Drosophila melanogaster: one gene and its partner. The protein of the gene in region 2 purifies or fractionates together with the protein of the main gene of each other region. This does not show direct contact. Each region holds a gene or a part of one and is shown on either strand. Other genes may lie near its edges. The genes, in order: Elba2 and Elba1.

Region 1 (4,105 bases), 2.1 Mb from region 2:
GTTTTCCCGGCAGCATGGCAAAGTTTTTGGGCATCAACCGGCTGACAAAGCTGTTCCAGATGGTCCGCGAAGCCGGAGGACTGAAGCAAGCGTACCTGAAGCTCTATAGGTGAGTCTCGATCTTATATAAGATTGCTCCAATCCTGAAAACCGCATATGCGCTATTTTCCAGGAACGATGATCTGAAGATCGGAACCCTGGTGGGCATCGACAAGTACGGCAACAAGTACTTCGAGAACCCGTACTACTTCTACGGCCGCAATCGCTGGATCGAGTTCGCCCCCCACGTCAACATGGACTACGATGGATCCATGATTCCCGCCGAGTGGTACGGCTGGATGCACTACAAGGTGGGTTTAGACTACATCTTGTCGCACATGTTATTACCTTTTTCCTTATAGACCGATCTGCCTCCCATTCGCGATGGATGCCGCCCCAAGTACAAGTGGATAGCGGACCACAGCGAGAATCTTTCCGGAACTAAGGGTAACTATGCACTATTCCCATTAAGTAAGCCCCCTAATTCAATCCTGCTCTTGCAGAGGCCTACTACCCCTACTCCACAACACCCAACAAAGTGGAGGCCTGGGAACCCAAGGCGAAGAAGCAGTAGTGTGGCATAGCTTATAATTATTTTTAAATTCAAGTGCAAATGGCTGCGATTGATGAGAACACCCGATCGAGTTAATAAACCCAATTTTGTTGACTCTGCACTCGAAGAACAATTTTAGCAATGGACAGAAAAGTGAAGTAACTCTGCCTATTCCCATATTATTCAGGTTTTGAATTGGTTTCATCTTGTCTTTATTCAATCACAGCTAGATTATATAACTTTACTTTTACTTTTAGCAGGACCTACTACGAATATATACAATGTCTTTCTGCGCCTTTCGTGGCGCGTCGTTGAGAAGAGCTTGATCATAGCTGGATTATATCTAGCCAATAGTTGTCCACTCCATGCTAATACTCCTCCTTGATGGCGACCTTCTGGGCCTTCTTGGCCCGCCTCTTGTACTTCTTGGCGGTATCCGCACACTTGGTAGTGATGGTGGCCCGAATCACCCGTTCCTTGCCGCCCGTCCGGTTTCTCACACAGACCACGATGTCGTCCACCTTGCGTTGGTCTAACTGGAGCTTTGGGGGTCTTTCGCGGCCGTAGAATGCGGGCGACGGCTTCCCGGTCAGCGTGTGGGTAGCCAACTCATCGCTGCTGAAGACAACGCAAAGAAGACACCTCGTGGCCACCGGGGCGTTGGTCCAGAAGACCTCACCGTACTGATGGGCTGTGATCTGGGTGCCATTGGGTCCCAGTACGTACACCGCACTGCCGTCCTCCTTTTGCACTCGGTGCGGGTACTGCACAAGAGTGTCTTTCTCGTCCTTTTCAGAGGCAGTATCTGGGATGTGCGATTCCGACGAACTGGTGGACATGTGGCGCGGTCTCTTGGAGGGCGGCGCGGGCACATCCTCGGCATCGTTGTCGTACCGCTGATTCAGGGTCTTTAGCATGGAAGTGAGACGACCAAAGAGTTGTTCGTAGTGGTGCTGACTCTTCTGGATTTTGGCCACTTGCTGCTTAAAGGATTCCTCCAGGCGAGGCAGTGGCTCCACCCGCGGTTCGATGTTCTTAATGCCCCCGGAAGCGGTGGCTACCGCTACCAACTGGGCATTGATGACGCGTCGCTTGGGCGGAGAGCTTCGGCGGACTGGCACTGCCTTAACGGGAACTGGCTTAACTGGCTGGTTGACTATTATGGGAGGCGGCATTTGGATCTGCAGCTGACCCAGGGGCTTCAGGGTCCGCTGGCGCATCATGGTCTGCTGGGCGGCCACCTCGTAGTTGATGTAGTTCTCGATGTCCATCTCCTCCTGCTTCATTATGGGCCGCGAGAGCAGGCGGTAGTAGTAGGGCACGAAGTTCGGGGCGAACTGGCTCAGATAGTGGTGATATGGGTGGGAGTACTGGACGCTGGGCAGGATAGCAGTCTGCGGATGAAAGTAGTGCGGCTCCGTTTTGCAAACGACTGACATGCTGAATTCCGGAGCCTCGCTATTTGTAAGGTTAGGACACGAGTCCTGATCGTACGGTCGAAATCCGCCGGCCATTTGCACGCGGATTTTGGCAACAGGTAAAGGCAAAAAGGTTTATTTCTGGCAAAAAACGCAGCTGCGTCGGCTTTCTTGGCTTATTTTGCGTATTATTCGTTGGAAAAATTGGTGTTTTATGGCCCGGCTTAACAGTTATTGTTCCTTGCGCCAGATACCTGAGAATCCGAAAATCTTAATCTTGCAGGGCTGCCAAGGTCGCCGAATAAAGATAATTTGCATTCGATAATTGGAAGTAGAGTCTAAAATATTCGCCTTTAGGCTTTACTTAAATTCTTATGGAAATATAGGAGTAACATGATTAAAAAACCGTTTGCTTCTGAAGGCTAGTCTTAAATACGAAATACTCGTACATGTTTTAACTCAAAAAGTTATGCCTTGAAATTTTAAAGGCAGTACCATATATCCTTGAGTGTATTTTCCGCTCATTCAAAATGCATTACAATGGACGGAATTCCAGTAGACTTACCCTTAAATAGGTATCCCTTCTAAAATGGAATTTAAGGGTGTTTTTTTTCCGATCAGAGAGCATTTGAGCGAAGAATTATATTCCAAAAGGATCTCATGTATTGGAAGGGTTCCCAATACATTCAAATTGCAATGGATAATATGCAGTCCGGGTCCTGAAAACCGGTTTTTTTTTTACAAAACCCAACTATTGTCCTTTTTGGTTCTTGGAACTGTGGAAAGAATTCTTACACATTCCTTTGTTACATTTACTTTTTTCTCTTATTTTCTGACCTTCGCCAAAGTGCAGAATACAGAATTTTAACCAAACGGATATTCTGAAAAGAAAAAGAAAAAAACTTTATAGAGAGAACTTAAAAATTTAAAACCCTCGTGACTTGCAACCGATAGTTTTATTTCATAGCCCTAGGTGTCAACCCTGTCGATGAAAGAGAGAGCAAAAGCAGCTTTATTCGCAATTATTTATAATAATAATTATAATACATATACTGGTTCCCGCGCAAACAACAAATCCCATGCGAAGAAAGGAAAAGACAGCTGGACTTGGACTAGTTGGGAAATAGACGGGGTCCTGAAACAGAAACAGGAATAGGATATCAGCTACCTGGAGGGCACACTCACACACACGCAGAGGCAGGCGCTCTCTTCCCCGTATATGCGTGCGCATGTGTGCGTGCAGGTAGGAATGCAACCACTTTTCGCATTCTGCCGCCAATTTTCAGTTGACGCAGATCCTTTGAGGATTGAACATGGAAAACGTGAGTAGCTGCAGGATATCTCCACCGAATATGTTGATCAAGAGTTTTTCCCATCGAATTGCAGCAATATCAGCGCATAGTCAGCGCCACTGCACGCGAGGATTCGCAGGCAAGGAGGAGCAAGCCCTTGTTTCTGAATGCCTGGTCGCAGACTTCTAGCGTGGACTTCGAGGTGCTTCGCAGCATCTCCGCGCCGGACCCGCAAGTGGAGGTCGAGAACAGAGCGCTCCGCGATAAGGTCCGCTACTTGGAGGCCAAACTGCAGCAGCACAAGGATCTGCTATCCCAGATTCATGCCACCTCCGCCAGGATGCAACAGGCATCCTCCCTGCTGGCAGAAAGTAGACCACCCACGCCGCCCGCGGTCCAGAGCCACCACATTCTCACGCCACCGAGTTCAGAGATATGTGCGCCCGCGCAGAATCCCCAGATTCTGGACTACAAGATCATCTCGGCACCCGACGATGCGGATGCCATTGAGATTCGCCTGGCGGCGGAGAGTCTGAACAGCCTGAGCACCTCTGCGGACTCAGATCGCCTGGAGATTTGCCTGGGCGACGAGAATCATCAGCAGAGCAATCATCACAATTCCCAGCAGCAGTACAGGATTAGCAACGGCATAAAGAGGGATGGTTCCTCCGAGTCCGCCGACACTCCACTACAGTTCATCAAACGCCGCAAGCTGCAGGAGATTCAGTTGCAGGAAGAAATCCCGCGGCAGAACATAAAACTACCAGCCAAACCCCAAGTCAAAGCCCGTAATGGCAGTTTTA
Region 2 (4,141 bases):
TGGGCAAAATAAATAACACATTGTGTCTGGGGAGGCAGACCGAACCAAACCCAACCTGCTTTCGCATAAAAAAAGTAACTAACTTAAAATTTTATGGTATTTGCCTCAAGAAATCCATTTTGCATTAAACAGGTCGCATATTTTTATTTATTTTTATAAATATAATAACATATAACTATGTCTGTTTGTAATGCTCAAAACTGATTGAAGCACGGAAAAGTCACAAGTGTGAACGATACGTTATCGAAATTCGATGCTGTGTGTAAGATAGCTTTTCCCTACCAGTGTTGCCACATGGAACATAGAAATGAGTAATAAATTATGTACAGTTTAGACAATCAGAAACATTTTCTTTTGCATAGTCCAAATTATTTGTTATATTTAGTGTCCAATGAGTGCCCCGAACAAAGAAATCGTCAAAGGGAGTTTGACAGCACAGCAAATTAGACAAAAACACCAATATGTACGCCTGATAATGTTATTAAGAAGGTAAAAATAAGACATTCTCCAGTGGTTTCTCCAATTTCACAACGTGCACTTTCAGAAGAGTCTATTTCCCAAGGAAGACGAAAAGTGATTACTCCCTGACCCGCATCAATTTCAATTCCACTGGTGAGTTGGGTAAGAAAGTGGGTTTCTTTATTCAATTGGTGTTATCGGCTGTGCCGGGACTTAGTATACTGTAGAATCAGAATTAGGGTTTTAACGGGTAAATGGACCTACTTTCGGGAATTCATTCCTAGAAAATGAAAAAGGAGGTCTTTCCCAGGGAGTTTCCATGGAAAAGTTTCCTACTTTGATTTGCGCTGCATTCGCGAGCGTAGCATCTTGTTTTCATCCGCACATTTGGTGGTGATGGCAGTGCGCACTTCCCGCGGAGTCATGTCCAGGCTGTTAGTCATCAGATAGACCAGATCGGCCACCTTGAGCGGATCCAGCTGCTGTTTGCTGGGACGGGCACAGTCCCTAAATGCCGGCGATGGTTTTCCGGATAGCGTATGATGGGCCAGTGTATCCCGGTCGAAGATCTCGCAGAGCAGCTTCCTCGTGATCGAGGGTCCGGTCATGTCCCAGTTGATGGCACTTAGGCTAATGCGGGAAACTTCGGTGCCATTGGGACCGATCGTCACCATCGGCGATTCGCCGTCCAGGTCGAATTCGAAACCAGGACACCGCCGTTTCGCATTCGGAGTGGAGGTCACCGGTTTCTTGATACGCTTCCTCTTGTTACCCATTGTCTCTTCTCCGCCGGGCACATAGTCCTCATCGTCATCGTCCAAACCAAGATCTTCGTCGTTTGTTTTCGGCGTCGAGGTGTTGTGCTCATCGGCTCCATCGCGAAACGCGTTAAAAGGCTCCGAACTCTGCTCCTGATCCTGGTCCTGCTCATGAGACTGTTTGTGCTCTGGCTCCTGATCCATTTCCTGGACCTTTTCAATTTCGATGGTGAGGAGATCGAGAGCCTTGCGCTTACTGCGCTCCCATTGCTGGAGAAGCTTCAAACGCGCCTCATTTACCGCCTGGATGGTGTTCCTCATCAGCTGCGAGTACTCCACATCCTGCACCATGTCATCGAAATCCTGATCCGGTGAACGCTGTGTCCTTAGCAGCTTCTCAGCAGCCAGTGTAAGAGTTTCCAGAGTGCTCAGCTTGCCACTATCGGACATTTCGATGTGTCGCATGGCGGAATCGGCAAACTCATTTGCATCTTGAATGCGCCGCACCTTGCAGTCATCGCTCTCCTCCTCCGTAAAGGAGTCATCCGTTCGCAGGCGGGCGATGATCGCCTCCACTTTTTTCTGCGTTTCAGACAACTGAACTGTCTCGGGATCATAGGGCAATAGGGTCAGGGCGAATTCCAAACGCTGACGGCGGTTAATCTACAAGGAAATGATTTTTTATTTTAAAATGCTTGGTATTTGCTTCTATTTAACTTACCATTGTGCTGCTTGTTGTCCACTTGCAAACTGAATTACTGCTAATAAGTCAACACCTTATATACCACCAATGCGAAAACCTTTACAGGTAGTTTCTTCCAAATACTGATTAATCCTTTTATTACCCTTTTTAATTTTGCAGATGCTTCCATGGCCGATTCGCTGCCCACCGGGGCGACTGCAACTCGCCTACCTGCCGGAGCAACTTGCAGCTGTCGTTCCATTTCGGGACGCCCGAAACCCGCTGCCATCGCCTCGGAATCAACCCAAACCATAGCTTCCACCGAGGACATGGGCACTCAAACCGTCTTCCAAACGGATCCCAATGAGGATTTCGATTGTGGCCAAGATGCATCCACCCAATCGATGCTTAATATGCATGATGTAGAGACTCAATCGATTCCAGTATCGTCCAAAAACCTTAACAGCATACAAACGCAAACGGACTATGAAGAACCAAAAACTGTCCGTTTTCCGTTGAAAAAATATTCGAAGACTGAGCATGAAGAAAAAAGACCTAGAAAATCGAATACTTCATTGCGCAAATGTTTTTTCAAGCGCCCATTAATCGTAGTCAAAGGCGGCGCTCTTATATCTTCCGATTTTACAGCCAATATCCATCAAAGTAGAATGGAGAACGTATCTGTCACTACCAGAAAAGAAGATAAAGAAACACAATATGAAAACCATTTTGGGACACAATCAAATAGTTCAGACGATCAGCCTTCAGATCCTTCAACGTGTTCAAAAATCCTCGATAGAGTTCAGAAACTGGAAGCCATAATGAAGAGACAGGAGCTTTTTCTAAGGGATCTACAGGGCTCTGTGAAATCGTGGAAGGTCCAGGAATGCAAACCCTCTGATTGTAGGATCATATTTCAAGGTAAACCGGAAGCATGTGAATTGCCAAAAAAACTAGAAACATCTGATCAGGCATCACAGATAAACGATATACACGAGGAACGCAAATTGCCAATAAAACCGGAAGGTTTTAACCAGTCATCCCAGAAAAAATATACAGCTCGTTCCGAGGAACAAAAGTTGCCAATACAACCTGAACCTTTTAACCAGTCATCCCAGAAGAAATATACAGCTCGTTCCGAGGAACAAAAGTTGCCAATAAAACCTGAACCTTTTAACCAGTCATCCCAGAAAATATATACAGCTCGTTCCGAGGAGCGAAAATTGCCAAGAAAACCTGAAAATGTTGATCAGGCTACACAAAAAAAAGATACAGCTAATTGCGAGTGCAAAACGCTATCCAAAGAATTTATTCAAATATTTTTGAAGCCTGAAACTGCTCAAGAAAAGCAGAAATCAAATAATTCTCAACGCACCACAGATACCCCAATAAACTCGGAAAACTCAACTGGTCTACAATGCAGTAGAGAATGTAATGGAAGTTCTAGCAAAGACAATCGGAGATGTTGTAAGGCGAATGGATATGAAATGCATCTGAAAGGTGACCAATTCCCAACTGCTAAACAATGCTTAAAAGATACCGAAAATTTTCTAGAACAATTTAATCGGGTTTTTGCTAAAACAAAAAGCGAAGAAACACTTTCCGACAAGTCTAGAAATACTTCAGCTTTCTCTGCAAATCCCACGAAACAAAATGATACTGAACATGGGGTTGAAAACTTACTGGGTGAAATTGTTAAAAAACCCAAATCAAAGGTTTCCTCCACATCTTGCTTGGAGGCAAAGAGTTCCGAACAATCCAATAAAAGTGTAGAGAAGGAATTATACAAATCCTTTATTGAACAGCTTATTAGTCATTTCACAAAATCCAAGTCGTGTGAAAATAATCAGGCGCAGAATGCCCAATCAGAGTCCTACTCATTCGATCGCTTACTGCCGGAATTCGTAAAAATGTTTACGAGATCCAACAGCCTCGAGGAGGACAGACCCAAAAAAGTGAGCATATCAGAGAAGAAAACCATTTTGGGTGCCAATCCGATGACCAGCTTCAATTGTTCGAAAACTCCTCATAATATTAAATCCACTGCACTGAAATCGGAACTTAAGACGTCGGATATGGAATTGGATGCGAACGGACGTAGGGGTTCCTGTCAACTAGAAGGAGAATCTAAACCAAGTGCAATTTTTAGGAACACCCAGCGGATGAATAACCCGCCACGTGGTTGTCAATACTGTGGCGATGGCAGTCTGCCCATTCTGGATTCCTTGATGGATGAAATATT

The links.
Region 1: the proteins of Elba1 (region 2) and Elba2 fractionate together in Drosophila melanogaster (co-fractionation; one study listed by BioGRID). This does not show direct contact.

The regions. Positions count from the first base shown.
Region 1 is NT_033779.5:2,575,864-2,579,968, reverse strand, and holds Elba2 (early boundary activity 2), read right to left. Parts: upstream 2,283-4,105; 5' UTR 2,107-2,282; coding exon 961-2,106; 3' UTR 790-960; downstream 1-789. Other genes in the region: ND-B17.2 (NADH dehydrogenase (ubiquinone) B17.2 subunit), read left to right, coding at 15-109, 173-350, 402-486, 543-613; insv (insensitive), read left to right, coding at 3,324-3,332, 3,397-4,105. UniProt on the Drosophila melanogaster protein: The heterotrimeric Elba complex is required for chromatin domain boundary function during early embryogenesis.
Region 2 is NT_033779.5:4,682,433-4,686,573, forward strand, and holds Elba1 (early boundary activity 1), read right to left. Parts: upstream 2,030-4,141; 5' UTR 1,942-2,029; coding exon 1,939-1,941; intron 1,881-1,938; coding exon 792-1,880; 3' UTR 620-791; downstream 1-619. Other genes in the region: CG11929 (uncharacterized protein), read left to right, coding at 392-489, 545-612, 2,080-4,141. UniProt on the Drosophila melanogaster protein: The heterotrimeric Elba complex is required for chromatin domain boundary function during early embryogenesis.